Linked DNA regions of Bombyx mori. The protein of the gene in region 4 purifies or fractionates together with the protein of the main gene of each other region. This does not show direct contact. Links are inferred from orthologs where the notes say so. Each region holds a gene or a part of one and is shown on either strand. Other genes may lie near its edges. The genes, in order: protein Dr1, SAGA-associated factor 29, histone acetyltransferase KAT2A, cysteine-rich protein 2-binding protein, transcriptional adaptor 3, molybdopterin synthase catalytic subunit and ZZ-type zinc finger-containing protein 3.

Region 1 (4,950 bases), on a different chromosome or scaffold from region 4:
GTTTTTAGGTTACATACTATCAAGTTTTAGATTCATCTTTAGTTTGAGAGCGACATAGGATCTATAGAAGTAATTTAAAATTTAGTGTGAAATTTTGTTCACATTAAGTAAATTTAAATTAAATACATGACACAAACAACATTTATATTATAACACAGCCAGAAACAAAACTGTCATAATATTAAACAATAACCTAATTAAATGTTTCTTATGAGTAATCATCATCTTCATCATCATCAGTTCTTGGAGCAGTTGTAGGTGGTACATATGGTTGTGCATTTCCTTCAACACCAACAAGTCCTTGTTGTTGTAGTAAAAGCCACTGTTGCTGTTCTTGTTTTGCTTGTTCCTCACGGGCCTGTGTTAAATAAAGTTTAATTATAAATTGGGTATTTTTTAAAAGTGAATTTTTTTAGGCGCATTGAGAGTAATATTTAACTCACGATAGTTAGGCAGTTACTTCGTTACAGCTTGAGAGAAAAGATACAATTTAAGAGGAGCGAGAATGAGAAAATAGACAGATCGTCTCGCAAACCACTAGACCTTTGAGAGGGAGATAGTGAGCTAGGTCGTTTCTCACACATTCTGTTTACGAGCGTCGGCCACTAGATGGCAATAAGATAATGACGTATATTTTAATGGAGGATTTATAAGAAAAAATATTTTTTTTTATATATAATTTAAAACATATTGATGCTTGAAAGGCAAACATGACTAAGCGACAATAACTGCTTTGTACATAAATGATAGGCAATAACCATATTCGACTTGCAAAAAATATATATTTCTAGGTCTATTAAAATAATTTCAATCCTACAGCTACTAGCTAGATTCTACTACAGCTAGACTCATTAAAATAAATTTTGTTGTCAGGTATTTCAACTTTAAATTAGTCTACTGTAAAGTTCACGCATTGTCGCTTAGTCACATTTGCCTTTCAAGCGTCGATATATAAAAGGATAAGAGGTCATTTCTCGGAGAGAAATTTGATTTAATGATTAAAAATTAAGAAAACCACATGGACTAAGTTAAACCAGTCATAAAAGTTAAACCAGTATATACACAAACTATTTGCCATGAGATATAATTATATTAAAATAATATCTACAATTGGTTCTCATATTGACCATAAGTAATTATGAAAATGTGGTTTTATCATACTCTGTCTCCTGTTAACATATCTAACAAAATAAGATATCAAATACAGGGGCTTGCTCGATTCCATATTTTTTTATGAACACTTTTTTCCTACTTATTTTCCCAAAGCTTAAGAAATACAACATCTAGGTTATTACAAAGTGCTTACTCGAGTTTGTTCTATATGAACCTTGATTGAAGCCTCAATTGTATTGTTTAACAGCTTGTATTGCATGATTGCTGTTACACCTCAAAGGGTTAGGTTAATAAGTGTTCTCTAAAAGTTCCTGTACATTCCTGAGTAGAAAGGACTAAAGTATGAAGCTTAAGCTGACATTTAAATGGGGTGATTACTTTGAATTAAATTGAATCAAATTGGTTTTTTTTTGTATGGTCTATATAACAATCCCATCCTTATGTTGTTTAAATGACATTAGAGACCAATTTATTATTGACCAGTTTGTATGAAGATCAACAAATCCACATCTAATGTTTACATTAAATGAATTGAAACATAATTGCTCTATAATATAAATAGGGTTTATTACATATGTCGGATTAGTCTGATTGGTTTGGTAAGATTGTTACTTCATTTTTTTCATTTCAAAATCATGACCACAGACACATTTTTATTGAATTTCATAATGGTTAAGAAAATACTGATTTAAATTGTTTAAACCTTTGCAAACAGTTCTTGTTGTTGTCTCAATAATTCTTCTTCTGGAATGCCTAAATTCTCAAGGCGTGTGCTTTGTCGTCTTCTTTTAGCCGCCACTGCTTTACAATCTTTTAAGACAGCTTCTGCTTCTATTGTGTAGTCACTAAATCCTAATCTGTCTAGGGCTGAAAATTAGTTTGATACTGAAGCTTAAAGTTAAATTCGTAAAAAAAATATGTTCGTGTTCCTTATGATAATATTAATTGTCTTTTAACAATAGTGAAATATATACCTGTAAGGACATGTTCTGCATTAATTGTTTTCTTATTGCTTTGATTACATACTTCATTGGCTTCAGAACTAATCAAATGTATGAATTCAGTGCAGCAATTTAGGATTAACTCCCTTGACTCGAACGCTACACGAACAGAAGGCACTAACTCTTTTATCATTTTATTTATACTAGCTCTTGGTAGAGTCAGTTCGTCCTCTTCTGAAGGTGGTGGACAAAGTTCACGCTCTGGACTTCCCATGGTAACGAATTTATGAACGCCCACTTCTATTTTTTTGTGGTAGCCTTTGGGCCACTTTGGGCCATTAAGTGTATAATCTATGCTTTGGGCCACTTTGACTCTTTTTTTAAGAGATTTTATGACCTGGTAACTAAGACCTTTAAGTCATGTCTTATTTTACTTTATATTCTTAATTTTATGAAAAATGATAATATGGAGTGAAATGAAATGAAGATGATTAATTTGAGACATTAATCAACTGGGATGAAATTTAATGAAATTAAATGATATGGGATGAAATATAATCGCAGTAAAATGGTGGTCATTTACTGAGATTTTTTCAGTGGACTTTTTGGAGGAACCTGAGAAGTTACGTCCAGCAGCTTTGTTTCATTTTCCCACATTTGTGCACTTTCACAGATATTAAACAGTTAATAAACCACCATTATTACACATTTAAACCTGAAGAAACACTAAATAGACAAAATAAAACAAATCACACAACTTCACTCCTCGCGTTCCCGCCAAAAAGTCTTCACTTTTACTCTTTTTTTTAAGAGATTTTATGACCTGGTAACTGAGACCTTTAAGTCATGTCTTATTTTACTTTATATTCTTAATTTTATGAAAAATGATAATATGGAGTGAAATGAAATGAAGATGATTAATTTGAAACATTAATCAACTGGCATGAAATTTAATGAAATGAGATGATATGGGATGAAATATAATCGCAGTAAAATGGTGGTCATTTACTGAGATTTTTTCAGTGGATTTTTTGGACGAATCCGAGAAGTTACGTCCAGCAGCTTTGTTTCATTTTCCCACATTTGTGCACTTTCACAGATATTAAACAGTTAATAAACCACCGTTATTACACATTTAAACCTGAAGAAACACTAAATAGACAAAATAAAACAAATCACACAACTTCACTCCTCGCGTTCCCGCCAAAAAGTCCAACTTTGACTCTCAAATATAATATGCATAGATTATACACTTAATATATTTGATATACCGGTAAAATGGGGCGATTAGGGACAAATTCCAACTTTATGACCAATTTTAAGGTAGTTGTTGATGTATATAATGCTATATCAAGATCAAAATGATGGAGTCTTGGGGGCATCTTTGTTGTCCAATTTAAAACTATGCAACTAGCATTCCAGTTTAAGCAAAAAAAGCAAAAATAGGTGTAATCCCTATTTACCCGGAAATTGCGGTTAATTGGGACGAAATGAGAAATTTGCTAGGGTTGGCACTACTTGGTTTTAATTAATTAATTTATTTAGTTGCACCAACAAAGTGATCATCAATAAAAAACATTGAAAAACTGACAAAAGTACATGGCAGATGTCACCTCAATTATAGGTGCAATCGACAGTGCATTAACAATAAAAAAAATATAATATATAAAACTTGATTACATTTAATTATTTGTGATTAATTTATATTTACTTGGGAAAGTATCCGCGACAGTTTTTTCCTGTAAGTTGTGAAATAATTAGAAAAACATCTATTTCATCACTTAAAGTTAGTTCAGCGCAATCGGACAACTACGAATGAGCATTGACGGAGACCGCGCTACCGTGGACATTATTGTAGTCCCAAAGGATTCTGTTTAAGGGAGAGTAAGCGCCTAAACTCGAACGAGCGGGCTTTCTTATAAGCGGTTTATATTTCTTCATTCTTAGTAAGTACTTAGGGCCTGATATTTTTATCTGGGTTAAGAGATTAGGTGTGTCCGTTATTCCATAGATTAATCAGGTGGATACCCCCACTCTGGACAAATATTAATATATGTTATGATATATTACTTAGACATTTTTGTCCACCTTGAGATTTCATTGTTCTTGTTACATGTCTGTGCAAAATCGACTTACTTATATTAAATTGCTTAGCTATTTCAACTAAAGACTTATTCCCAATTTCGTAGGCTTCTATTGCTGTTTTTAATATTAAGGGATCATATCTCTTTATAAGGCTTTGCATTCTGATACGTACACGCGAGGCATATCTAAAAATAGAAAACAATACGTACCTAACTTATAATATAAATATTTACCAAACAATAAAATAACACATTGATAATTTTGAATAAAAGTTCTAGACAAAAACATCATGAATAAACTAGATTTTTACCAACAAATTTAAATAATATTGTTATAACTACATAGACAACCCTACAAACCTGTACCTATTTGTACTTAGGTCGTTTCCATTTCGTTTATTCTCATCCCAATTGACCTCTTTTTCGTTGTAATTTGTACCTAAGACGTCCCCAATATCCCCAAAAACAACAGATTTTTACATGTATTTTTATTTTATCAAATACATTAAAACCAATAACAACTGAGAGTTACCTTTAATATATATGATGGTTCAAACACTAAATAACGTTTATAAATCACAGTCGTCTTCTATTATTATCAAATGAATAAAAGAGAGCAAAGTTTCTAGCACTAAAATAATTACCACCACAGGAAGTTAATTTGAAACGCGATTTTTTATAAGTTAGCAGCTATTATCATGCATGTTCAGAGTTGTTTTGTAAACTTTCAACATTCTACTATTAAACTACAAAAAATGGAAGATTTTGCATCGAATATAAAACTAATATTGAGCGTCGAAAGATTTTCCCGG
Region 2 (3,952 bases), on a different chromosome or scaffold from region 4:
TTTTTACAGGTTTTTCGAGTTCGTCCAAATACAGCAAAAATACGAGTCTATAATGAATTTATGTTTTTAGTCATTTTCATTTAGTACCAAATATTTGCTTTTAGCTCTCTAGCCGTGGTGACTATCAATGGAAAATCTGTTTTTGGCGATATATCACTTGTATGTATTAACAGAAGTCACAATAATCAGATGTTTAATTATAAATCAATACTGGCTTTATATGTATAACAATATAATACATTGGCATTGTACTCGAGATTCCAGGCTGGCAAAACATAGCATTTTGATCTCATTTCTTATTTATGTTGAATGTATAGTATCGATATGCCATAGTGGAAAAGTTGCTCATTTCTTACGTAAGATTTAAGTTGAATTTCCATAGGCTGTGTCAGTATGAATTGATGTATGTGGGCATGTGATGAAACTAGTTTTTTTTAAATATTTATTTATAAGTATGGTTGCCATTATATGTCCTACGTTTGTAGACATTTTTATTTTTCATTATGACTAACTTTATTTTACTCACAAAACATTAAAGCATACACATTATAAGAAAATATAAACACTTATGTCAAAGAAGTTCCTTTACCATTTTTTATTATTGTTTAAAAAGCGAGGTATATTTTATTTTCTTCCATTAATATTACTCTTTAGTTTGTAAGTGATCAAAGAACTTATAAAAATCAATTCGTTTTAACAACAAATCAAAATTTAATTGTATATTTCGGACATAAACATTGTATCATGTATTCTGTAGATTTTACATAACCTAAGGAATTAAAAGATATGTAATCTTAAAATGTTTATTTTATTATGACTACTAGAGACTACTGCTACTACTAAGTTTTGATAAAAATATTTGTCTGTGTTGACCACTACAGTTTACAGGGTGACTAAATCTAATTCCTTCAAAATAGGTAATCAACATATTATTACCATAATAAACACTTAAACTAGATACATAACGCTAGATGAAGGTTATGGAGAATTTTTGTCTCTTTAGCAGCTGTCAATTAAATTTTTTATAAAACTTATCTAAAACGGTAGGCAGCGGCTTGGCTCTGCCCCTGGCATTGCTGATGCCCACGGGCGATGGTAATTACTCTTCAGGTGCGCCGTATACTCATCCTACGGAACACTGCAGCGAGGCCTGTCATAGCGAAAGGGTCAACAACTTTAAATCTAGTAATTTACTTTAGTGATTCATAAAAAAGCGTAACGGATGCGAAGATTTAATTCGTAAACGTTGTTTTATTTTAAATAATGGATATAATAATATTTATGATTAAATAACTAACGTGTTTGGTTTTACATCTGTAATGTAATATTAATTTTGTAAGTGTAATTTTATGAATTATGTGAAAAACTATCTACATACAACAACGTCAATGAGATCGAAATCTGGGCTTGTAGGACTAACACTACGAAGTCACGGAGGCCCCTGGACATCTCATCCGTATTGACATTTCGAACAGACGCGAACTGTTCTTAGTGTCCTAAGTGGATAAAATTAGAATAGGTAATACTTAAATTCGTGCATTTTTCGTCATTCTTAAATTAGCTGCATTAACTGAATACACAGTTACAGTTAACACAATAACTTATTTCATTTTAATAAATCTTATGATTTATATACAGCAAGTTTTTGTTCTATAAATCTGCCATATGGCGTATCTAAGGACTATATGTCTACAATCTAAATATTATTCATGTACCATTTAAATTTTTTAAAATTAAACATGCAACACTTAGGTCTCTCTTACTATCTCTCGTTGGCGTCTATTGTGAACAAGCACTAAACCTTTCACAAAATTATTTTTGTCATCGTCTATACACACTGGTCCGGTCCACTAAATCCGCAAATCACATCGCACCACAACGATTACTAACCGATCACCACATTAAAATCAAAATGTACATCCAACAAATTCTCTGACACACTCGACAAAATTCTAACGAAAAACTACACTTTATAAAGGCTGAATCACACACAAGCGGCGTGCTTATAGCATCCTTCAACTGGTCACAGACAGTATAAAGTATCAACCGTTTGGAAGCATTGAAAGGCGAGTTTAGCCTGTCGCTTCATGTAATTCGTAGAGATTAATGTTTCTTGAAACAATATTCGAGAATTCTTGTGTAAAGCCTTTAAATTTCAAATTCAGCTATGTATTATGATCATCATTTTAATATGCGAAAGAAAATTTGTCTTCGATTCAGCTTGTGTAATGTAGAACAACAGTACGCATTACGCGTGGGTGTCGGCCGAGGTGACTAGGTAGCGGTAGCGGAAGCGGAGGAGGACGCGGCGGCGGGCGGGCGGTGCGGGCGGCATCAGGTGGCACGGCCCTTGCCCTCCTTGATGGCGATGACGTAGCGCTGCGCCACGCGCTCCGGGGGCGAGTAGCCGTCCGCGTACGACGAATCCTGCAGGCAAAAGGTTTTTTTTTTTTTGTTATACTGGAGCTAATTTGAAACAAGGCCTTATAGGAATATAGTTTAGCGGTCTTGCCATAGTTAAAAAATATATTTTATAATAAAATCTGGTACAAAGTATGTAGTTATAATATTTTTGCATTACTTTTAAAATATTATTATACATTTTCATATACATATATGTAATTCTACTGTACGTGTGTATGTCACTGAACTCCTAAACGGCTGGACCGATTTGAATGAATTTTTTTGTATGCGTTTGGTTCACGCCTTGGATGGTTTAAATTCGCAAATCAGCCTGGCAGATGGCGCTGCAGTCGGTATCTACTTTATTTATTTTTCCTAGAAAAATTATATGGCAAAAGAACTTTTGCCGGGTCAACTAGTTAGTTAGTATATAGAATTGTAATAATATTATAAATTTTTACCTCGAACAACACTTCATAGGGGTCAGCAGCGCTCGCGGGCAGCCGGTTGACTACGGCGCGATAGAAGCACGTGGTCTGCGGGTATAGCGCCATCACCACCGCACCTTTGAAATCATTTTATCTATACTAATATATAAATGTACAGTGGTTTTGACGACTTGAAACTTGTTATCCATGTAGAAAATACATGTACTTAATGGATAGGCTAATATTTATATGAGTGTTGGACTCCCTACACCAGTTGCGGGGGCGTTAATGATGAAAATCTTTGTGTGGGTGAGAAATAATAATGTTAATTTTAAATGCCCAGCGAAGCGGACCGGGAACAGCTAGTTCTTTATATTTACACAAATAAATAACAATTTATTTTGATAGGAATAATCTTCGATCAACAATAGTAACTAGATTTCGGGTCGGTGCATAAAATCCGTCTCGTCAAATAACAGCGCACTTGAAATGTGAGCTCTTATTTTGTTTAGTTCACTTCAAACACAGCCAATGTCAACCCGTCTCACAATACCGCAGTGTGTATTCAAAAGTTGCAAAAATAAGGCCCGAAAAAGCAATTTAACGGCCGGAGTATCTTACTTTCGGTAAGTACATGAAGTATAAACTATATTGTAAGCTTTAAACTTATAAATAATATTAAATTTTGAACAAAATTACCGATTTTTAACCACCGCTACAAATGTTGGCCAAGGCTCGGCCAACACATGGACAAACTTTTGCTTAACAGAACAGTAAATGCATGGAGTAGATTTGTGTTGTAATAATTTTTTAAAAATTGTTAGCAGCACTTCAAAATTAGTTGGTTAAAATTGGTTAATGCTGCTTTTGTGTCTGTTTGTTGGACTCTCATTAGATACTTAGCTTTCCATTTTTATTTTAGCTTTCCTAGCAATCACGTGTGCAGAATGGATCTCGATTGTCGCCAGAGAAACAAGAGATGACTTTTATAAGCCAGCTAAGAACTCCGCTTATTGACACTGGACATCTTTGCCTTCCGTGCTCACGGCTACTGAAATGTGGCCGAAACATTGTAATAAAAATACCACGCTTGAAACCGTTTAAACGTTGTTTTATTATGT
Region 3 (4,365 bases), on a different chromosome or scaffold from region 4:
CCAAGCAGCAATGTAACGTGTAGCCAGACGCGCGGCGGGGCACCGTCACAACAGAGTCCATTTACCAGCTGTTTTTTGTTTGTAATACATTACGTGCAATGCAGTGTATTATCATTTTTCGCTACTTAAACGAACAAGGCCTCCCTAGTACAATTTTGGATGTTTAACGACAATGGGAAGACCCTTCACCGAGCGGGTGATATTGCTCGGTAGACCGACGGTCCGTATATAGTGTTGTTCGGAACTTGTATATATGCGAGCTTATCTTGAAAATGTCGTAAGCGACATTCAGGCATCAATTGCGTTGTATGATGGCTACCCACCACAACAACATTAATAATTTCAAATATCAGTAACGACGTACCTCTTTCTGCATCCTAATAACCGAAGTGAACTGTGTGTATACTATTCTAGGGTTCAATTCGCAGTGCATGAGGGTTGCTCCCTCGTAGTCCTTTATGTATCCTTGGTACATCGCCCTCGGCAGCTTAATGTCTTTACTGAAACCCTGCTTCTTGAAGTAGCCTGTGGAATTAAACAGACCAGGCTCGGAGATCAGAGGATCTTTAGTGACTGTATTCTGTGAGTGTCAGACGTAGCCTTCTGAGGCTTGACAATCAAAAGTTATGAGGTAACACATAAAAAAAACAGTCGAATTGAGAACCACCTCCTCTTTTGAAGTCGGTTAAAAAAGGAGCTACGTTACCTTGAGAAACTAATCGCGCTCACCTATTGCAAATTCATCAGCGAAGGTAAGGAAGTGCAGTATATTGTTTCGGATGTGGTAATCCTTGAGGTGGTTCATGAGGTGAGTGCCGTATCCTTTCACTTGTTCGTTGGACGTGACCGCACAGAATACTATCTCGCTGAAGCCCTGTCAACAATTTTGAAGACGTGAGTGGAAGAAGGGGTTAAGTACGATTTTTGATATTTTACATCGAATGAAGGTGTTATGTGCCTATAAACCTTATTTATTACTAGTGTTAGGACCTCTTGTGTCCGCACGGGTAGGTATCACCGCCCTACCTATTTCTGCCGTGAAGCAGGGCAGCCGTTGTAACCTTAGAACTTATATCTCAAGGTGGGTGGCGCATTTACGTTGTAGATGTCTATGGGCTCCAGTAACCACTTAACACCAGGTGGGCTGTGAGCTCGTCCCCCGTGTGAGCCACCCGCGCGGACTCACAAGAGGTCCTACCACCAGTAATTACGCAAATTATAATTTTGCGGGTTTGATTTTTATTACACGATGTTATTCCTTCACCGTGAAAGTCAATCGTGAACATTTGTTGAGTACGTATTTCATTAGAAAAATTGGTACCCGCCTGCGGGATTCGAACACCGGTGCATCGCTACATACGAATGCACCGGACGTCTTATCCTTTAGGACACGACGACTTAAAACTTTAATTTTAAAATTCGCTAACACAACTATATATCCCTTTACATACTTGCGAATGGAATGTCCTGAAGCAGATGCCACCAATCGGCCTGCCTTCTTTGATCAGAGCCAATGTCTTGTGTTTCCTGTAAGTATATTCAAATTTAAGCTTTATGTATGGCTTCATAAAAGTCATTATCCTTTGAATTAATACTCACGGATCGAACACTAATTGCGATATGTATTCTTTAGTCATTTCCGGTAGTTGGTGGGAGAAAACGTTGTGGAGACCTGGAAGCAACGCCGTACACTTCATTATATGTATATTTACTGATAATATTACAATCAGTACAGTTAAGTTGTTATTAAAATAATTATAAATAGAAATGCTTTAACAAAAACCAACTTCAAATAGGAAAAAAAAAGATATTCCAAAACAAACTATGTAATATAAACTAAGAACAATCATCATCGAAATCGGTTGGCGTGATATTGAGTTATTGAGTTATTCATCTATTTGTCGCGCACGTACTTAATGCAAATTTAAGACTTATATGGTTTTCTTATGGATACCGTTATCAGAACTGGACTAAATTGGGAATAAAATGGGACCACACGGGAAGCGTCAGCTTTTAAATTAAAAAAAAGAATCATCAAAATCGATTCACTCAGACAAAAGTTATGAGGCAACAAACATAAAAAAAACATAGAGTCGAATTGAGAACCTCCTTCTTTTTGAAGTCGGCTAAAAAAAAATCTATAACCATGTTTACAATCCGACCGAGACTATAATAATATAAATTAACGTTTATTAATTTTAATTATATTTAGATAATTTCTACATACTCACCGATCAACCATAGCATTGTCTGTTTGTTGACGGGCCCAGTCAGAGAGTTGCCGATCACATGGAACTCTATTAATTTTCTTTGTTCTTCGATTTTGGCCGCCTCGTCGCGCGGTGCTTGCGTTTGGAATAATGCCTGAGGAATTAATCGATCATTTGGTTTGTTTTGTATAATGTTAAATTATATCCGTATCAGTATTTTCATTCGGCCTTTTTCTAGTGCGGTATAATCAGAAGATCCAGTTAGGACGAGACAGCGATCGTGCATACAACTAACACTGGTAGGCAGCGGCCTGGCTCTGCCCCTGGCATTGCTGAAGTCCATGGGCGACTGTAACCACTCACCATCAGGTGGGCCGTATGCTCGTCTGCCTACAAGGGCTCACTTTGCTTGGTTTATGGGTCGTGAAGAAATACCCCTAGACTGAGAGTTTGTTAGCCTATCTAGGATAATAAAATGTAGCGACGTCAAGGTTTTTTTAAACTTCAACTGTAATGCGAGCACAAGCCGTGAACGAGTTAACGGTTTGAAAAATCACACAGGGTTGCCATTCCAATATTTAAATATGACTAAATATAAAGTTTACTATTAGTACTCTACCCTGTATGGTAGAGTTTACGGCAATAATTTAGTTTTTTTTAAGGGATTTTATGACCTGGTAACTAAGACCTTTACGTAGTCTTATTTTAATTTTAATGTAAACTTTTTTATATGAAAAATGATATGAAATGAAATGAAGTTGATTAATATGAAACATGGCATGAAATGAAATGGAGATGAGATGATATGGGATGAAATATAATCTCAATAAAATCGTGGTCATTTACTTGAGACTTTTTCAGAGGACTTTTTGGAGGACCCCGAGGAGCTACGTTCAGCGGCTTTGTTTAATTTACTTACATTTGTGCACTTTCACAGATACCAAACAGTTAATAAACCACCGTTATTACATATTTAAACCTGAAGAAACACTAAATAGACAAAACAAATCACACAACTTCACTCCTCGCGTTCCCGTCAAAAAGTCCGTAACAATTTAGTCGAGTGTAATAAATAGATAGAAAGTAGCGGAAATAGTTGGAGGAGGCCTTTGTCGAAAGGCACACCGGAACGAGTTACATTTTGTAGCAGAACTGTAGATTTTATTTTTATATTTTGTTTTCATATATCAAATTGTAATTTTTTTTAATCTACTTAAAATTGTTAGCGTAAACTGTAGAATTTTCGGGAAATAAAGGTATTATTATTATTACTAGCGGTCCCCTGGTAGTCGAAATGCGACTATAATTAATTGAAATTAAAAGTTTGTGCACTATGATTCTATTGTGAAACACTATTACTTTCTATAATCACAGATTTCCCCAACTTCAGACAAATAGGTACTAATAAAGACAAACAATGTTTAATCTGTGCTCAATTTGACCACAGATTATAAGCAATAAGAAAGGTATGACAATAAACAAATAGTATGCATGTGTGTCTGTGTGTCTAATACATTTATTTTCTCCTACCTACGCCGAAAGTTCGGTTTTCCTTCCAGTGTACAGGGAAGAAAGTCTAACTCTTCCTCCCTGGCGCATGCGCGTTAGTGTCTACGTCTGCTCTCACGCACCTAAAATTCTCCGCCATTTTTGTACTCGGGTAGTTTGCAATATTGCGTTTAGTGTAAAAGTGAAATAAACAAAAGGCAATAAAATTTAATAGTGAAGTATTAAACAAAGATGAATTCATCAGACAGTTCTTATTCAATTAGTAGTAGTTTGTTTAAAAATTAAAAAACAGTTAAATTTAATTTATTTTTTTATATTTTATTTTTATTATTTTTTATAGTTGGATGCGGAAGGCGGAGGACCGCATTCTGTGGAAGGCATTGGGGAAGGCCTATGTCCAGCAAAGGCTGATGATGATGATGATGATGATATAAAAAAATATTAACATTCTGCACTCCTTCTCTATATTCTCTATAAGTGTGGTAAATTTCATAATTCTTCGTCCGCGCAAAAGTGGTACAAAGTTTTTGCTTCACGCATTATTATATAGATAATAAGCAAATAAAGCTGTTCGTTCGTCGGGAGCGAGCGCGCACGTACGTCCGGTCCGCACATGTAGTTGGGGTCGGAGATAGTCGCCACGATG
Region 4 (4,365 bases):
CACAAGATTTGACTTGTGACTGAACGTTTTCTTTATATAAAATTATTTCTCATGCTCTCTAAACTCAAAGACTAACAATAGTGATCGGAAACACGGCTCATGAGATGGTAAGTGGACATTATCGGTCACCTCGTCGTAGGACGTTGACGTCTCTATTTCATTTAAAACTACTGCTGAAAATTTTCAATAATAAGACAATAAGATATTATTAAGTATTTACAATATGGCGACTGCTCTATTAGATATAAAAATCAAAATTTAAATCCCAATTAATTTGATTTCGAAACAATTAGGTCTAAGATTGAAACTAATCAATCACCTGTGAGTTTTCCTCAGCAGCTCGTCCATTAGCTTCATCCAGGTGGTGCAGGTTTCGGTGTCCCGTCTTATGTAAGGCTTGAGGGTGACTCCGGAGTACGGAGACCTGAAGGGCAGGGCTTCCATGCGCGACAGCAGGAGGGTTCCGTGGGTTGTACTTGCTATAGTACCGCAGAGGTTATCCATAAGGAACTAAACAAAGAGTAAAATTTTTAATAGATCATTTAGAAGCAATCGTCCGCCGGTTTCAACTTTAGCTATGACTACTACATACAACAGAGAATTTCCTAAAAAAATATATACAGGGTGCCCCAAAAAGGTATTCTTACTGGTGGTAGGACCTGTTGTGAGTCCGCACGGGTAGGTACCACCACCCTGCCTATTTCTGCCGTGAAGCAGTAATGCGTTTCGGTTTGAAGGGCGGGGCAGCCCTTGTAACTAAACTTGAGACCTTAGAACTTATATCTCAAGGTGGGTGGCGCATTTACGTTGTAGATGTCTATGGGCTCCAGTAACCACTTAACACCAGGTGGGCTGTGAGCTCGTCCACCCATCTAAGCAATAAAAAAATAAAAAATAAAATAAAAAAATGAATAATCCTGAAACACCTCATAGTAGAGCTATTGGAAACACAAAAAAAAAGTTTTCAGGTTTTTTTTTATTGCCCTTGTAGGCAGACGAGCATACGGCTCACGTTATGGTGAGTGGTTACCGTCGCCCATGGACTTCAGCAATGCCAGGGGCAGAGCCAAGCCGCTGTGTACCATAATTGCCCAAATTACGTATTTAAAAAAAAAGTTGATACTTTCCATACTGCTGTGCGTTTCTGGAATATACAACAGCTACAAATAAATGAAATCCATAGGCTTTTTGGTGTTATAATATTCTACATGGACTACACTAAGGAATATGCAGGAAATCGTATGAGTGAGTAGCTAGTGTAATTTTTTATAAAAGTTAATCTGAACTTAAAAATCAGGATTTTTTTTATTTTTTCTTTATTTTTAATTTGGGTACTACCTAAGAAATAATTTTTTTTATTATTATTTTTGAGTTCCCAATAGTTCTACTATGAGGCGTTTCAGGATTATCCATTCTTTCTGGGACACCCTGTATATTGATTGTTTTCGTGTCTCACCGATCTCTGGAACCTGTCCAGCACTCTCTCGACGTTGTTGACCTGCCGCGGATCCTCAGCGGCGTGACCGCTCAGCAACTTTACCGTCCTGAATGATATAAAAAAAAAGACAACTCTTAGCTTAGCATGACAAGGACAGCAATATGTTACATATAATATAATATTATAAAGAGGAAAGATTTGTTTGTTTGTTTGTTTCGAATAGGCTCCGAAACTACTGGACCGATTTGAAAAATTCTTTTTCCATTAGAAGCCGACATTGTCCCTGATGAACATAGGCTACTTTTTTTAATTATTTTTTTTTGGTTTCATGTGTGTTTTAATGTTTCCGAAGCGAAGCGAGGGCGGGTCGCTATGTTACATATTATTGTGTAAACAAGAAATAGTTACGTGATGTAAATCCGAAAAAGAAATTCAAGAGAAACCATGCCCAGTCGTTCCTTACCCCCACGATATCAATCAGCTCGGGCTCAGACAACCGCATGGGAATTGTTTTCCAATTAATATTTATTTATTGTATTATTGTTATCTAGATCCTCAAAACGAAGCCGGTGATCACTTCGCGGAGACAGTCAAGCGGAATCAACCCGACCTGCCTTTAGTCATGCCTATTATTATACCGTAGTATTGGTAATCTATATATTAATACGTGAAGGAAAAACTTTGTATCCCTTTTTTCGAAAATTGCGCGGACGGAGGAGTATGAAATTTCCCACACTTATAGAGAATATAGAGAAGGAGTGTAGAATGTTAATATTTTTTTAATTTATGCCTAAAAAATACATTAAATCAATAAAAAAACATTACACACACTACCATGTGTTTGACACACACACGCATGCATACTATTTATTGTCAAACTTTTGTTCTTGACGTCTATGGTCAAATTGAGAATAGATTAAATATTGTTTGTCTTTATTAACATTTACCTAAAGTGTAGTCTTGGCGAAATCTGTGATTATAGAAGTATAATAATTGTTTGACAATAGAGTCATAATAGTGTACAAACTTATAATTTCAATTAATTACAGTCGAATTTCAACTACCGTGGGACCACTAGTTAAATTAAAATTACAATCATGCCATATGTCTAACCAAAAAGACATACTGACTTGTCAAAAGTGAATATAGGTAAATGCTTGTGTCTCTTCAGCCTGCGCAGAGTCAGTTTTGCCTTCAGCCTGTGAAGAGAGGCTCGTCTTGCAGAGTCCTTTACTTTAGTCACCAGCCCTTCGATCTGCTTCAAGAGCTGTACTTCTTCGTATTGAGTCATTTCCACCACGTTCGTCTCCGCGCGAGGAGTCGTCGTCCACGGCAGATCCTCTGAATTGAGTTCGGTAGAGAAAAGAGATTCTCTTCTTACTGGTTTCTCTTCTGTCTTTTTTGGTTTTGTTTCCAGTTTCTTTTCTTGTTCTGAGCCGCTTCGGGAGTCAGAGTCGTAGAAGAAGAGCGTATGCTGGAAGGAGGTTACGCTTGAGGTGTCACTCTAGAAGACGAAAAATAATTATGATATATTCTAAATTTTTTATTAACAACGAGCGGCCCGCTCCTTCTCCGCTCGGGTCTTTAACAAAAATTTCAACGATATTTGACATTGTTTTATTTTTTTAAATAAAAGAACACTTATTGCGGCATAGCTATAATAGTTAGACATATGCTGTCGCAACACTTTTGAATAATAATGTGTTCTACAAATTCGTAGTACATTATTTTATTCTATCATCAATAGTTTTCGAAGGGCACGCGATGTAAAGAATATTTTAGGTAATTTTTTTACACCTTGGGTTACATTATCGGAGTTTAAGTAAGGATCCCTAATTTTTTCAAAAAAGATTTATAGCCTATGTCTCTCGGGAATGGTGTAGCTTCCAAACAGTGAAAGAATTTTTCAAATCGGTTCATTAGTTTCGGAGCCTATTCAACACAAACAAACAAATATTTTCTCTTTATAATATTAAGTATAGATATCAGTGTGGCTCAAATGGGGCTAGGTCCAGCCATAACTGTCGCTAAATGTATGAATTAAACAGGTTTGTTGAACTAATTGCGCGCCACCCGTCTTGCGCTGATGGTACCACGATGCGAACCTTCCTGGAATGTCAACAACCAAGTTTCATGATCATCAGATGAATCAAGAACATATTGAAGATACGCATTCATTTTAATATGTAGATAGTTATGGTTAAACGAGTTCACGGTCCACCGGGGGCAGAGTCCGAGGACATCACAACGTGGTGGCCGCTCCCCACTTTGTCTTCTCCCCTATCAGTCTCCTATCCATTTAATCTTGAAGGTTTATATCGCAGCAGATATGTGCAGTTTGGTACAGTACAAACCACTATATATGTATACTACTAGCTTTTGCCCGCGACATCGTCCGCGTGGAATAGTTACTTTGCCATAACGCTAAATTTTACCCACCTCTTCATTAACGTAGAAGGTGAAAATATTTTTGAATAATAGAATGTTAAGTTGTTATTAAAGGTACTAAAATCACGCTTTTTAACCGATTTCAAAAGAGGAAGTTATCAATTCGACCATAGTTTTTTAACTATGTATGTTCACCGATTTCTAGAGAATGCTTAAACTGATTCTGATAATTCTTTTTTTTTGTTCGAAAGAATAGACTTCCCGAATGGTTCTGTTTACATCAAGATCTGATGATGGGATCTCAGAGAAATCCAGAAAAATCTATAACTGTCAAAGCCTATCTTGAAGTGATTTGGGTGTTTCAATGTTGTAATGAATAACGTATTTATTTGATAGGGTTTAATATCATCTTGATAAAAAAAAAAACTGTATAAAGATCTTTTAAAGGGGAACAATTCTCTCATACATTATTTTCGTGAAACTTTAACTGTTTCCGCAGCGCACGCAGTGGAAGTTCTCAAAAGGGATTAAAACCCCGA
Region 5 (4,533 bases), on a different chromosome or scaffold from region 4:
GAACTGTACTGTGAACAACTGATGAGATTAAAGCAAGAAGTTGAGAGAAAGCGGCCGGAATTAATCAAGAGAAGAGGTGTAATTTTTCATCATGATAATGCTAGACCTCACACATCTTTAGCCAATCAGCAAAAATTAAGAGCCTGGCTGTGAGGTGTTAATGCATCCGCCGTATAGTCCTGACCTTGCAGCTTCAGATTTCCACCTGCTTTGGTCTCTTTAGAATTTTTTAGGCAGTGTCAGGTTAACATCACAAGAGCACTACCAAAATCAATTGTCGCAGTATATTGATCAGAACCTCCAAAAAACCTACAAGATAGCAAAAAGTTATTGAACAAAATGGTATTAGTTAAATATAAATAAACTATATTAAAAATGTCGTGAATTTTCTTAAAAAATGTTAAGAAACTTTTCCCCAACCTTATATGAGTCGACTATTATCAAAGCCGGCAATGTGACTTTTGGACAATTATTGGTAAATCAGAAAAACGAATTATTGACTTTGTATTCCATTGGCAGTCACAAAACTCTTCTTAACTACATCTTAGATAAATAACAGGTTAAGTATTAACCTTTATTTAATGCAGGTTTTGAACCGTATTCTTTGAAGGAGACGATTATATTCAAATCAATCTGTATTGACATACCAATAACATTTTTTTGTCCAAATGCACAGATTGCCACCTTTGATAATAGACGACTCGTATATAACAAAATAAAATGAGGTAATACAAAATCTGCAGTAAATAAAAAATTTGCATTAGCATTCATTAGTTCTGTTCTGTGCAGATTCACAAGACATCTTACCACCAGAGTAATTGTGCAAATTATAAACTTGCAGGTTTGATTTTTTTTACATGATGAGAAGTCCCTACACGGTGGAAGTCTATTGTGAACATTTGTTAAATACATATTTCATTAGAATAATTGGTACCCACCTGCGGGATTCAAACATTGTTGCATCACTAGATAAAAATGCACTAAACATCTTATCCTTTAAAAAGTCAAGGCCATAATCCAAGGCCAAGGTCAAATTTGCCAAATAAGTAGTTAGTAGTCACAGTAATAAAACAAGTATTTTTCCATATTTAATTCAACAGATACTCCTAGAATAATTACCACATGTTATTTTTGTATCATGCCGAACACTAATATCTAATTTGAATTTGGACCCGTTTGTGGCAAAGCATTGATTTCTTTGTTTAGCCTTATTTGTTCATTTATTGCTTTCCAAGCATCTTCTTTTTCCTTCTTAGTAACAGGGCGCTTCTTTTGTTTAGCCGCTACCATCTTTTTATAAATATCAATACATTCTAGATCCACTTGATCCAGTTGCTTTTTCAGATTCAGTCTAATCATTTCTTGTTTACACAAACCAATTAAATTTTTAAGATTTCGACAATTCTCTTTACGTACAGCTGTTAATTCTGTTTGACATTTTTTAATCTCTGCTAGTATTTCATCATCAGCTGGATTAGTGAGAGGTGGTAAATCCTCTGGATCAAGTATTCCTTGTTCAACCAATTCCTTCCTCAAACACTTTTCTAATGTTAATGAATTCTTGTAGCCACTTTTAGTGGTGGAGACCATTTTTACTTTAATATCAGGTATTTCATAAGACATCACATTCTCTTCCATAAGAGCAGAGACTAATCTTTGTGTCAAAGGTCCAGTTATCATGCTTTCTGATGACTTTTCTAGCTTCTTACGAGCATGAGATGCATCTGGAGACATAGATGATTTTTGCTTATTAGGATTAGATGCATTTTGATCTTCAGCAAGATGTTCATCTGCCCAAACTTCTGAGTAATGCTTTCCTAATGGAGGGATCGGAGGTAGTGTGGTGTTACTGCTTTGAGCTAATAAGGACTCTAAAAATTTTATATCATCCAATGTTACAGGAGCACAATAAGGCTCTACTGAATTCCAAAATTTATATGGGATATTATTTTTAGGCAGTGCTAATTGTGAAAGTTCAAGTTTTACAGAGTTGTCTGAATTCACTAAATCATTAGAGTAGGTATGAGATCCTGAGGAAGCGTTTGAGAAATTTTTAAATTTAGGCACTTTTGGCTGATTGGATAATTTTGTGTAGTCTTTAGTTTTAACCACTTTGTCATCTTGAAATTTTCTTTTTACAGGATACTGTAGCTGTTTACCGGCTGCTTTGCCTTTTTTTTCTCTTTTAGATTCATTCGAATCTATGCTTTCTATTTCAGATTGAAAATATCTGCATCGTAGGGCAGTATTACATAGCAATGACTCTAATTCCAACTGTAACCCATCCAGCTCATCCATCCCAATAGGTTCATCAGCAGATCTCGCTGCAACCGCAGTAAATCGTGGCAAAAGCACTGCATTATCTTGTATTTTAATGTATGGAATTGGGCATGTCTCAACTTTGATTTTGGCAGTAGAAACAGAACCTGGAATCTTTGTTGGTTTAGTGTATGGTGTAATTCCAGGGCTTGATGGCTTTCCATTGTCTTTGTTAGCTAGTCTGCCTTTGCTATTATGATGCATCCTCTTACCCAGCATCTCGATTCAATATAATTTACCCGCCAAAATAAATAACACAAGCCCAATATTCTACGCTAATCTACATTATTTATTGCACTGAAATCTTGGAATCACTTTAAAATGTTAGACTTTAAAGTACTTAACGTTAATATCACGTCTATGACTCAACTTGTGTTGATTTTTTAAGACAAAAGCGTAATTCTTAAAGTTTCTCTAGTACAGCAAAACAAATGCCGAAATCACAGAACAAAATGGCGTTCAGAAAATAAAACTTATTTTTTATTTGATACCGTTTTTAACACAGAAGCTTTACCTTTTTTTTAAGGGATTTTATGACCTGGTAACTAAGACCTTTAAGTCATTTCTGATTTTAAATTATATTCATATTTTTATGAAAAATGATATTATGGAGTGAAATGAAATGAATATGATTAATTTGAGACATTAATCAACTGGGATGAAATTAAATGAAATGAGATGAGATGATATGGGATGAAATATAATCTCAGTAAAATGGTGGTCATTTACTAAGATTTTTTCAGTGGACTTTGTGGAGGATCCCGAGAAGTTACGTCCAGCGGCTTTGTTTCTTTTTCCCACATTTGTGCACTTTCACAGATATTAAACAGTTAATAAACCACCGTTATTACACATTTAAACCTGAAGAAACACTAAATAGACAAAATAAAACAAATCACACAACTTCATTCCTCGCGTTCCCGCCAAAAAGTCAGAAGTTTTACCTACTTTTTTTTTAAGTGATTTTACGACCTGGTAACTAAGACCTTTAAGTCATGTCTTATTTTAATTTATATTCATATTTTTATGAAAAATGATAATATGGGGTGAAATGAAATGAAAATGATTAATTTGAGACATTAATCAACTGGGATGAAATTAAATGAAATGAGATGAGATGATATGGGATGAAATATAATCTCAGTAAAATGGTGGTCATTTACTAAGATTTTTTCAGTGGACTTTGTGGAGGATCCCGAGAAGTTACGTCCAGCGGCTTTGTTTCTTTTTCCCACATTTGTGCACTTTCACAGATATTAAACAGTTAATAAACCACCGTTATTACACATTTAAACCTGAAGAAACACTAAATAGACAAAATAAAACAAATCACACAACTTCACTCCTCGCGTTCCCGCCAAAAAGTCCAGTTTTACCTACATAAAGTCAATGTTGCCACTTGTCATTTGTCAGTCAACAGATTGTCAGATTAGTACCTATATACCTACCTAATTCAAAGAGAAAAATGAAGGAATACCATATCACCGAAAAAAGTGTACGTTAAAAGAGAACCAATTAAGGTAGCGCCATAGTAGCTAGTCGAAAAAATTTAAGAACCGCCTTAAACTACCACACTGCAAATATTTATTTATTTATAACTTCTTATACTAGAAAGTATAAAGGCGGATTTAATGCCATAGACATTCTCTACCAGTCTACCTTAGGGGAGTGCAGAGATGAAGCTTGGTAGGTGTAGCGTGAAGGTGATATTACTTAAACATGTGTATATATAACATACATAATATTTATAGATACAAATACTCATACTTAAATAAATACATAGACGTAAATATATAGATATACATAAATATATACATATACATATCATAAATATATACATATAAAAACATATATAAACAAACATTATCAATTAGATGACGAATGATCGGCGGCGACGATGAAAGCATACGGAGTGTAAGTGTAACTCGCTGACACACGGAGATAACCTGGGCTCGCCAACTCAGACTGGAGTCAATAAGTAGGCCTAGGTCCTTTACAACTGAACACCAGTTGATGGTTGAGCCATCATATATAACCGATGGGACATATGCCATATCCAACCGATATAACAAGCGTTGACTTCCAACAATAATAGCCTGACATTTGGCGAGATACACGCTTATGCCGAAACCGTCAGACCAGGATTTAATGTAGGACAGATCGTTATTTATTTTTCCAACTGCCGAAGACACACTATCGACTCCAGCCTCAGCA
Region 6 (5,113 bases), on a different chromosome or scaffold from region 4:
AGTGATTACTGGAGCCCATAGACATCTACAACGTAAATGCGCCACCCACCTTGAGATATCAGTTCTAAGGTCTCTGTATAGTTCCAACGACTACCCCACCCTTCAAACCGAAACGCATTACTGCTTCACGGCAGAAATAAGCAGGGTGGTGGTACCTACCCGCGCGGACTCTCAAGAGGTCCTACCACATGTTAAAACTTTTATTGTACACGTTACGTTTTTATTACACGATGTTATTCCTTCACCGTGGAAGTCAATCGTGAACATTTGTTGAGTACGTATTTCATTAGAAAAATTGGTACCCGCCTGCGGGGTTCGAACACCGGTGCAATCGCTATATACGAATGCACCGGACGTCTTATCCTTTAGGCCACGACGACTTCAATAAATGTCGTCGGATGTTCTTTAGACGACGGTACCTTTGATTTGCCTCGTGGCCTGGGTCGGATATGTAATTTTAGGCGGTCACGATAAGGTTTATTTCTAATGAAATACGTACTTAGTACACGTTCACGAATGACTTCCACATCGTGTAATAAAAATCCGATATAATAGTAACGTGCGTAATTACTAAACAATTGAGATGTAGATGTATGTATATGGACTCCAGTAACCACTGAACAACAGGTGGGCCGTGAGCTCGTTACGAAAATATATTTTTTTTATCTCGAAACTAGGAAGAAACAACCTTCTAGTTCAAAGTGGCCCGCAGCATACCGTATGAACAGACTTAACTTGAAAACAAAGGTATAAAAATGAGTTTAAATTTTTGAAATATAATCATTGCTAACATCGGTATGACTAAACAATCTCTTGTTATTTACTGCATTTACATGAATATTTTTTACTTCACCACATTTATCTGACTTGGTTGTTGTTTACAAAAAGTGTTCAAAGAGGTCAAACTATAATATAAAATAAATCATTTCTTATCTATGGAACGTAAACAACTATATCTGTGTTGGAAATTGTAAATTTAGAAGATGCAAATAGACAAAGAGTTATGGCCATATTTTCTTTATTTATATCTTCAGCTACGCACGGACGGGTTGGTAAGCTCATGGGGTTCATCCTGAGAGAATTTGCTAACAATAGTCCTAGTAAGAGAAATCCAATCCAGCGAGAAATTAAGTTGGTTATGTATTTGGGCTAGGTTGCTCTTCAAACTCTTTTTGTCTAAGCCTCAGTTTTTTCATTGCAACAATTTCCCCACCCTTTAAACGGAAACTCATTACGGCTTCGCGGAAAATATAGGCAGGATGGTGGTACTTACCCGCGTGGGCTCAGATATGATGCCCTATCACCAATAATTACACAAAAATTATAATTATTGCGGGTTCAATTTTTATAACAAGTAATGTTATTCCTTTATTATAGAAATAATTTGTGAACATTTGTTAACCTATTTCATTAAGAAAATTGCGTCGCTTGATGTGAATGCACCGGGTGCCATATCCTGTAGATCACGAAGAATTTGCTGCCTATAGTGACATGAAATATCACTTAACACTAAAATGGTTAAAAGCCATTACCGTTTTGAACAACGGGCTTCACATACAGAATCTTAACAAAATACCTATTTTCCTAATGACTAGAAAATTTTAAATAATACAAGTTTACCTTTTTTCCTTCAAAATTGTCTCTAGTTGTGCCAATAAACAATGAAATTGCACCGCAGCTATCATCAGTTACAAGTTCACTTATTTCTTCGACTGACAGTCTATCTACTGTTAATTTTATATGGTCCATCCTGTGAAATACTATTTAACCTCCACTCAATGGTGGTATAACAGCTAAGTTGTCTTGTTCATTAATTTCTATATCTACTGTATCCTCACACACTACCTCGTTCTTAGCCAAAAGTATATTTTTCTTAATACTGTTTAAGTTATATTTATCGCATATAATATTCAACAATCTCTGATATCCCAACTTTCTTGGTAAAGTTATGGAAGTTTCTCTAACTCCCGACAATTCTTTTGATTTAGCAAAAAACAATAGCTTCACTGTTACAGTATCTTCTATATTTTCTATTTCCATAATTTACCATAGTCAATCTACCAGCCTGCAATAAAAAGATGTGTTATTATAAACCTGTTTGTAAAAAAAAGTTGCTTAAGTAAAAATAAATAAAAAACATTACAACAAAATAATCAATATAGCTACTGTCAATACTGCTTCTAAATCTGTGTAAATAGTAAACAATAATGATTAAAATACATACATGTAATTTGAATTGAAAAAAAAAACTAGAAAGTACAAAATGGTGCTGCAAAATCTAAAGAAAAATATTTAAAAAATTAAATTCTTACTTTATTTCGAATTGATCCATAAAAGACTAAATATGTTGTACTTGTTGTAGGATAATAAAAAGGTTTTTAATTTCCGTTATACACTTTCCATGTACATCAAAAGTATTTTAAAAAATTATATATCTACTGACTGCATCACCGCGGCGTTTCATTTACTTACTGACTGATTCACTCGACTTACCTACATGAATGTCGTGGATATAGTTTTTATTTTATGGGCGACTGCTTTAAACATGTTGCTGATCATTGGACCGTGTCGGAATTTCACGATCTAATTACATACACCTACTTTCATACAATAGATACCTATACTTTACACAGTATAATATTATTAGATATTTTCAAGTACGTCGTTGGTACAAATGTCATTACAGCGATCATTTAATTTAAACTGTGTGATTTTTATAACTAGGAGGTTATACCGTAACCTTGAAAATCGTAACATTTTATTTATTAAAGTAATTTTAAATATACTTACTGTATCTTCTGTCTTAAATGGTAGTAATGTAAGGGTTTTTTTTCCTCAAACTTAGATTAGAAATTTCACTTCTTTAAAATTCTTACTAACTATTAGGTGTTATAATTAAGTTAAAATTCAAATTTTAAAACTCAAAAGCAAAACAAGAGACAGCTGTTATAGTTTATGAATTAATAACTTTTTGTTTGATCCCAAAAAACAGGCAAAGGAATAGTATTTCATAGGCTTTGTTTCAAAAAGTAAATTCTTTTATCTATCTATCTCTTAGGTTTATGGCGTTTCCTTTTAGATTTCGCCAATGTCAAGTGTATATAATACTCTGCTTTCTATAGCGGGCTTCGTGAATTAAATTAAAGTAAATTCTTTTGCACGAGAAGCGTAAAGGTGTCATTACCAAGCCATACTATTACCTTTTTTAAGGTATAAAAAAGGTAATAGTTTAAAGTTTGAATGATATCAGTTTTCGTAATAGGCCAACCAGCCAAGTCCAGTGATTTTGCTCCATTTCCATCTCCTAGAATCTAGGACCTAGATAGTTGAAAAGACCATATTAGTTTAGTATATTAGTTGCAGAAATACCTAATTGGAAAAATATTACAATGGCATATCCAATTTCATTCTTGTGTTCTAGTCATAGTAGATTTACACTTTTCTTTCTTGAATCTTATCCATACAACGGTTGAATGAAAGAGATCGCTTTAGAAGACAGGACCACACCTTGTAATTAAATTTTTATAGCATATCTACTTCGCTCCCATTGTACTAAGAAAAATTACCCGTGATAAGGTGCATGCGAAAATTTAACATGAAAATTAAGAGTCAATAACAAAACTCAATTTTACATTTATAGTATTTTAAAAATATAGATATTCTTTTAGGATCTCTTTTTAGGGGTTCAAAAAAACCCTCTTTCCAAGCGAGAGTTGTTGATAAAATACTTAAAATTTAAACTTAAATTATAAATATGTCTGTTATTAACTACTATCTCTCCATCATATTAAATCATGTTTATGTTGTATTTTCATGTCTCAGGCCTATTTATAAAATATCTTATAATCCAATTAATAATCATCATATGTTCAATAGTAGTGATCCGTCTTTGCACGGGATGAATAATGATATTGTGAATTATGTAATAATGAATAAATATAATCATATAATGTATAAACTAATTATTGCTGAAAGTACATCATAATACAAGTAAAAGAAAGTACATTATTGTTTACAGTAATGGCCATAGGTAATATATTGTAATTACATCACGTGTATTATTTTTACTAAGCTTTATGTAAAAGCTTCAATATTGACAGTTCTCTTTCAAATGAGAGAAATTACACTTTCAACCCCTACTTTTTAACTCTCAAAGAAAATATTCCTAGAAGTGAAATTTTGAAAAACAGCAACAAAAGTTTACGCATAAACGATAATATGTTTATTTTTTAACAAGTAGCGGAAATACGACATTTCGTATTTTAAAATGACAGTGTCGAAATGTTGTAGCGATGGCTCTATAGGTTGACACTCTCTTATTATACATTAAGGTTAATCCTATGAGTTTAGATTTGAATTCTTTCGGTGATCATGTCTCCTGCCGTTTGACATTCTTTTTCTTCCACTTGACCATAGATAATGCTTAAACACCTTCGCAACTCGATTTAATTTTACGTCACTATCGATACTAACTGCACTACCATAATCTGACAATTGACAGTTCAAATTGAAAAAGTTACCGAATTCAAACGGTTTTCAATCCGGTATGTTTGTGTGCTGCTTCTATGTATACTGATCGTTATTTTTTGGCAAGATTCCCTCTGGGTGCGCTTCTTATATAAAATGGACTACGTACAACGTACAACACAAAAAGGATAAAAATAGAATACGAATGCGAGTTTCAGTTCAGTGCTCGGACATTTTTGTTTTCTAATGACATACTTACCGAACCGTTTATTTTACGAAATAGAAATCAGTGAAATTATTTGAAAAATATTTGATGTTAGTGTTGGATTGAATATTTACTTGTGTCTTCAGATCGTGACGTGTCGAGCAGAGCAGAGTCTTAAAAACGCTACAATCAACCGTTGTGTGTTTAGTGATATATAAAAAATGGCAAATCGCGATGAACCGATGGATATAGACAGCTTAGAGAGTGATTTTGATAATAAAGAGAATACATATCACAATAATGTGTTACCATGTACAGAGAAAGGATATGAGGAGTTGGATGTGTCAGAACTCAACATGAAATTGAGGTATTCTATAACCCCAGCCGCATCACCTATGTCGAGGAGCTTTACTAACTATACTAGCAATAGAAGCCTTGATA
Region 7 (3,724 bases), on a different chromosome or scaffold from region 4:
GATATACTTCCCATAAAATTATAACAAATCCTATAAATCAACATAGAAACGCGCTAATGTAGGTTATTAATAGTATAATATCCGGCAATTAGTGATATACGGATACAATCCCTTTTTTTAACTCCTAAAATATTTGTCCTCAAATACCTTTTCCCTTTCTACACAATCCCTGTTTTTGCATATTGCAGGGCGTATTATACTTATAAGTATTACATAAATAATATGGGTACGATTGTTTTGGAATCGTACAAGTTTTGCAATACTTTAGGGACTTGTTTCACCTAACCAGGGTGCGGCGGATATCACTTCAATATGTATCTCACTATTTTTGGACTGCAATAACACTAGGCTACCGTGAGCTTAATCCAAAATTAAAAAGAAGCACGCGATGTTAAAATAATTTTAGTTGGTGAAGTTCTGCACGTTTTATTAACACATCAATCAAAATGAGGTGCACTTTGCTGATCTCTAAGAATAAGAATGAAGTTGTAGGTCAAATCATAGGGCGTGTTGAATGAGGGTGTGATATATTGTGTTAATTATTTATGTGTAGAACACAAAACTCCCGCCAAGCAGTAGATAATGTAGTGTGTATAGAGGGTAGATAGAAGCGGGTGCGAGGCGTGCTCAGTGTTCCAGTCCAGTGGATGTTCATCACTCGCCGCGGACGCCCCAGTATTGCGTTATCACCAGAACCAGTCGGTAATTGACAGTATAGCCTAAGTTATTGAAATACGTATCCAGTTGTTTTTAAATATTCGTTTAAATTCTTGAAAATAGTAAAAATTCAGAATGTGTGGTGTTACTAAATTTGCGTCTTTTAAGCTCTTTCGGGTATCTAGTTTTAAAAACTAAATAATGGTTGAAGTGCAGTAATGTTGCAATAAATAAAAGCCGAAGAGTAATTATTAAAATTAATTGAAAAATTTCAAATCTCAATGAGTTTCATAAAAAAAAATCAGATTAGCACAACATATTGTGACCATATTTTAGTATTGTGATCCACATTACAGTGATTTGAAATGTTTCAAATCGATAAGATACTTAGAAGTTGATTAAAATTTACTTCTATGTTTTTCAAGATACTTAAAAACTATCTTTGTTGGTGACAATTTGAAAAAAACAAAAATAAGCTGAGCATTTTATTGCATCAAGTTAAATGTCTCACTGGAATAAGTCTTTCAGCAGGTAATAATCTCACCACGCAGTCTGTGCAATAGTCAGTACCCGAATTGTCTGTCCACCTTGCTCCTAAAAAACCCATTTTTTGACAACCAACACACATGGTCTTAGTTTGATAAACTGGTGTGGTTTCATCTAAAACTCTCTGTTCTTTAGCTAATTTCAATAGTTCCAACATGTATTTACCATCATTTTTAGTTTCTAAAGAGGACATATTGTCGTGTCCTTCCCCACTGTCACAAGAGTCCTCCATATTTACAGGAACATGCAATTGAGGAAAAAATGTAGATTTCTTATAAAATATAGACTTGTTTTTATCTCGTCCAACACCTTTGGGTGCTCTGCCTGGAATGGGCAGACCTGCTTTCGCTAACTTAGCGAAATACTTTTGAATCCTGCTCATAACTTGTATTGGGGTCCTTGTGCCAAGGGCTTGTGCTATTTTTTTATACCTTCTCGCTTCAATAGGCTCTTCAGGATAAATTTCTAACAATTCCTCTAATCTTTTTTGCTCTTCACATGACCATAACTGATTGAACGTCTCTGGTTTATTGTCTGTGAACTTCCGCCCTCTAACTTTGAAACTAGAATCTAATTCTTCCTTACATTGTTTTGACTCACTAGCACCTATTGTGTCTGTAACATCTATTCCATACTCATTCCAGTTTATATTGGGCAAATCAGAGATAGTTTGATGAGCAGGAAATTGAATGTTTCCGGATCTGAGATCATCAATAAACGTCAAAGGGTCATCCAAGGCTTTATTCTGAGATTCAGCTAAAGTTTCTATGTCTTTTAGAGCTTGTGTCTTTTGTGCTTCTAATTTAACTATGTATTTGAGTAACTTGCAGTAGTCTTTGTTTCCTCTTAAGGCTAAATGGTCTGATTCAAATGCAAATTCATCTTCTGACTTCTCACTTTCATTTTCATATTCATCACAGCTGTCCATGACCTTTAAATTGATAAAAATATGAATAATAGTTTCGGAATGAAAATAGCGAAAAATCCTAAAAACTTGAGTGTAAAAATAAAAAATAAAATAAACAGTGTTCATAACAAAAAATGTAAGCATGAATTCAGAAGCTCTTCAGTTGAAGGCTGGTCGGACCGGTGAGTTCAGTCTATTTCTTTTATTTATAACAGGTAAAAAATATTTAATACCAACCTATTCACTAGGGCTTTAACAGTTTGCTATAAAGTAGACGTTAAAATAAATAAACATTACATTCTTTATGTACGCAGAACTTCTTCGAAAGGCTACTTGGTTACTGACATAGATTATACACTTAATATGTTACTGACAGTTTCATAGATTAAACACATAAACGTCAAAGAATCTATATCTGAAAAAAATGAAAGTGAGATTCTAAACCAATGAGATTTTTACATCGAACTAAGAATTTATTTCCAACAATTGTTCCTATTTAAGGAAAATGAGTGTACACGATAAATTTATATTTTTTTATGATCAAGTGAAACGCAAGAATAACAAGTAAAACAAAGCGCCATCTAGGTGTTTATGCACACAACAAAACCAGTAGTTTGTTTCTAAAATTTTAACACAGATGGCAATGCTCGTGCTTCCCACAAGTTTCAGTAAAAGTCAAACAGATGACTAACATTCAATGCTATTTGTTGTTAATAAACAATGGTAATTTCGTGCCATTTATAGTGTTTTATTAAGACTGTGTGAAAGCTGATCAAAATATCTCAATTTTTTTATAAATCATCATGTCTATGTGTTTTTATTGGCAGTGGCGCTATATTAGCATAAATATAGTGACCATTATTTTTGTAAAATAAAAACAGGATAACGAGCAATAAAAAAAAACAACAACCTAGCATATAATATATGAAGGCGTTTTTTATTTTATTACATTGGTAGGTGACCGAGCACACGGCCTACCTGATGTTGAGTGGTTGCCGGAGGCCACAGACATCTACAACGTAAATGCCACCACTAAGGTAAGTGGAGACAGATTTCTAAGGTCTCCGTTTTTACAGTAGAACGGCTGCCCCACCCTTCAAATCGAAACGCATTACTGTTTCACGGCAGAAATAGGCAGGGTGGTGGTACCTACCCTACCCGTGCGAACTCACAAAGCGTCCACCAGTAATTACGCAAATTATAATTTTGCGGGTTTGTTTTTTTATTTATTTTTTATTTTTTAGATGGGTGGACGAGCTCACGGCCCACCTGATGCTAAGTGGTACCGGAGCCAATAGACATCTACAACGTAAATGCCACCAACCACCTTGAGACATGAGTTCTAAGGTCTCAATTCAGTACAACGGCTGCCCACCCTTCAAACCGAAACGCATTAGTGCTTCACGGCAGAAATAGGCGGGTTGATGGTACCTACCGGTACGGACGTCGGATTACGTACGGATGTACTAGACGTCGTTCTACCGTTGATTTTTGTTACACGATGTTATTCCTTCACCGTGAAAGTCAATCGTTAACATTTGTTGAGCAGTTCATTAGAAAAATTGGTACCCGCCTGGGATTCGAACATCGGTGCATTGCTCAACACGAATGCAC

What was found.
Region 1: the proteins of cysteine-rich protein 2-binding protein (region 4) and protein Dr1 purify together in Drosophila melanogaster (affinity purification with mass spectrometry; 4 studies listed by BioGRID). This does not show direct contact. The link is inferred for Bombyx mori from reciprocal best matches to the Drosophila melanogaster genes Atac2 and NC2beta.
Region 2: the proteins of cysteine-rich protein 2-binding protein (region 4) and SAGA-associated factor 29 purify together in Drosophila melanogaster (affinity purification with mass spectrometry; 5 studies listed by BioGRID). This does not show direct contact. The link is inferred for Bombyx mori from reciprocal best matches to the Drosophila melanogaster genes Atac2 and Sgf29.
Region 3: the proteins of cysteine-rich protein 2-binding protein (region 4) and histone acetyltransferase KAT2A purify together in Drosophila melanogaster (affinity purification with mass spectrometry; 4 studies listed by BioGRID, with this or other methods). This does not show direct contact. The link is inferred for Bombyx mori from reciprocal best matches to the Drosophila melanogaster genes Atac2 and Gcn5.
Region 5: the proteins of cysteine-rich protein 2-binding protein (region 4) and transcriptional adaptor 3 purify together in Drosophila melanogaster (affinity purification with mass spectrometry; 4 studies listed by BioGRID). This does not show direct contact. The link is inferred for Bombyx mori from reciprocal best matches to the Drosophila melanogaster genes Atac2 and Ada3.
Region 6: the proteins of cysteine-rich protein 2-binding protein (region 4) and molybdopterin synthase catalytic subunit purify together in Drosophila melanogaster (affinity purification with mass spectrometry; 4 studies listed by BioGRID, with this or other methods). This does not show direct contact. The link is inferred for Bombyx mori from reciprocal best matches to the Drosophila melanogaster genes Atac2 and Mocs2B.
Region 7: the proteins of cysteine-rich protein 2-binding protein (region 4) and ZZ-type zinc finger-containing protein 3 purify together in Drosophila melanogaster (affinity purification with mass spectrometry; 4 studies listed by BioGRID). This does not show direct contact. The link is inferred for Bombyx mori from reciprocal best matches to the Drosophila melanogaster genes Atac2 and Atac1.

What each region holds. Positions count from the first base shown.
Region 1 is NC_085110.1:7,486,483-7,491,432, reverse strand, and holds the start of protein Dr1, read right to left. Parts: upstream 3,264-4,950; 5' UTR 2,329-3,263; coding exon 2,088-2,328; intron 1,981-2,087; coding exon 1,817-1,980; intron 359-1,816; coding exon 209-358; 3' UTR 194-208; exon of another isoform or gene 128-193; intron 1-127. UniProt on the Drosophila melanogaster protein: Bifunctional basic transcription factor. Activates transcription of DPE (Downstream Promoter Element) containing promoters while repressing transcription of promoters which contain TATA elements.
Region 2 is NC_085125.1:4,979,546-4,983,497, reverse strand, and holds the end of SAGA-associated factor 29, read right to left. Parts: intron 3,937-3,952; exon of another isoform or gene 3,754-3,936; intron 3,458-3,753; exon of another isoform or gene 3,236-3,457; intron 2,969-3,235; coding exon 2,865-2,968; intron 2,428-2,864; coding exon 2,335-2,427; 3' UTR 790-2,334; downstream 1-789. UniProt on the Drosophila melanogaster protein: Component of both the SAGA and CHAT histone acetyltransferase complexes, which both predominantly acetylate histone H3.
Region 3 is NC_085120.1:4,779,963-4,784,327, forward strand, and holds part of histone acetyltransferase KAT2A, read right to left. Parts: coding exon 4,320-4,365; intron 2,365-4,319; coding exon 2,232-2,364; intron 1,673-2,231; coding exon 1,600-1,672; intron 1,528-1,599; coding exon 1,452-1,527; intron 875-1,451; coding exon 730-874; intron 526-729; coding exon 365-525; intron 1-364.
Region 4 is NC_085111.1:1,081,660-1,086,024, forward strand, and holds part of cysteine-rich protein 2-binding protein, read right to left. Parts: intron 2,943-4,365; coding exon 2,569-2,942; intron 1,545-2,568; coding exon 1,457-1,544; intron 511-1,456; coding exon 320-510; intron 1-319.
Region 5 is NC_085109.1:9,155,577-9,160,109, forward strand, and holds transcriptional adaptor 3, read right to left. Parts: upstream 2,772-4,533; 5' UTR 2,539-2,771; coding exon 1,156-2,538; 3' UTR 1,076-1,155; downstream 1-1,075.
Region 6 is NC_085131.1:1,996,802-2,001,914, forward strand, and holds the start of molybdopterin synthase catalytic subunit, read right to left. Parts: upstream 3,060-5,113; 5' UTR 2,791-3,059; intron 2,720-2,790; exon of another isoform or gene 2,313-2,719; intron 2,066-2,312; 5' UTR 1,750-2,065; coding exon 1,621-1,749; intron 1-1,620. Other genes in the region: putative leucine-rich repeat-containing protein DDB_G0290503, read left to right, coding at 4,894-5,113. UniProt on the Drosophila melanogaster protein: Catalytic subunit of the molybdopterin synthase complex, a complex that catalyzes the conversion of precursor Z into molybdopterin.
Region 7 is NC_085121.1:4,879,935-4,883,658, reverse strand, and holds ZZ-type zinc finger-containing protein 3, read right to left. Parts: upstream 2,132-3,724; coding exon 1,151-2,131; 3' UTR 1,130-1,150; downstream 1-1,129.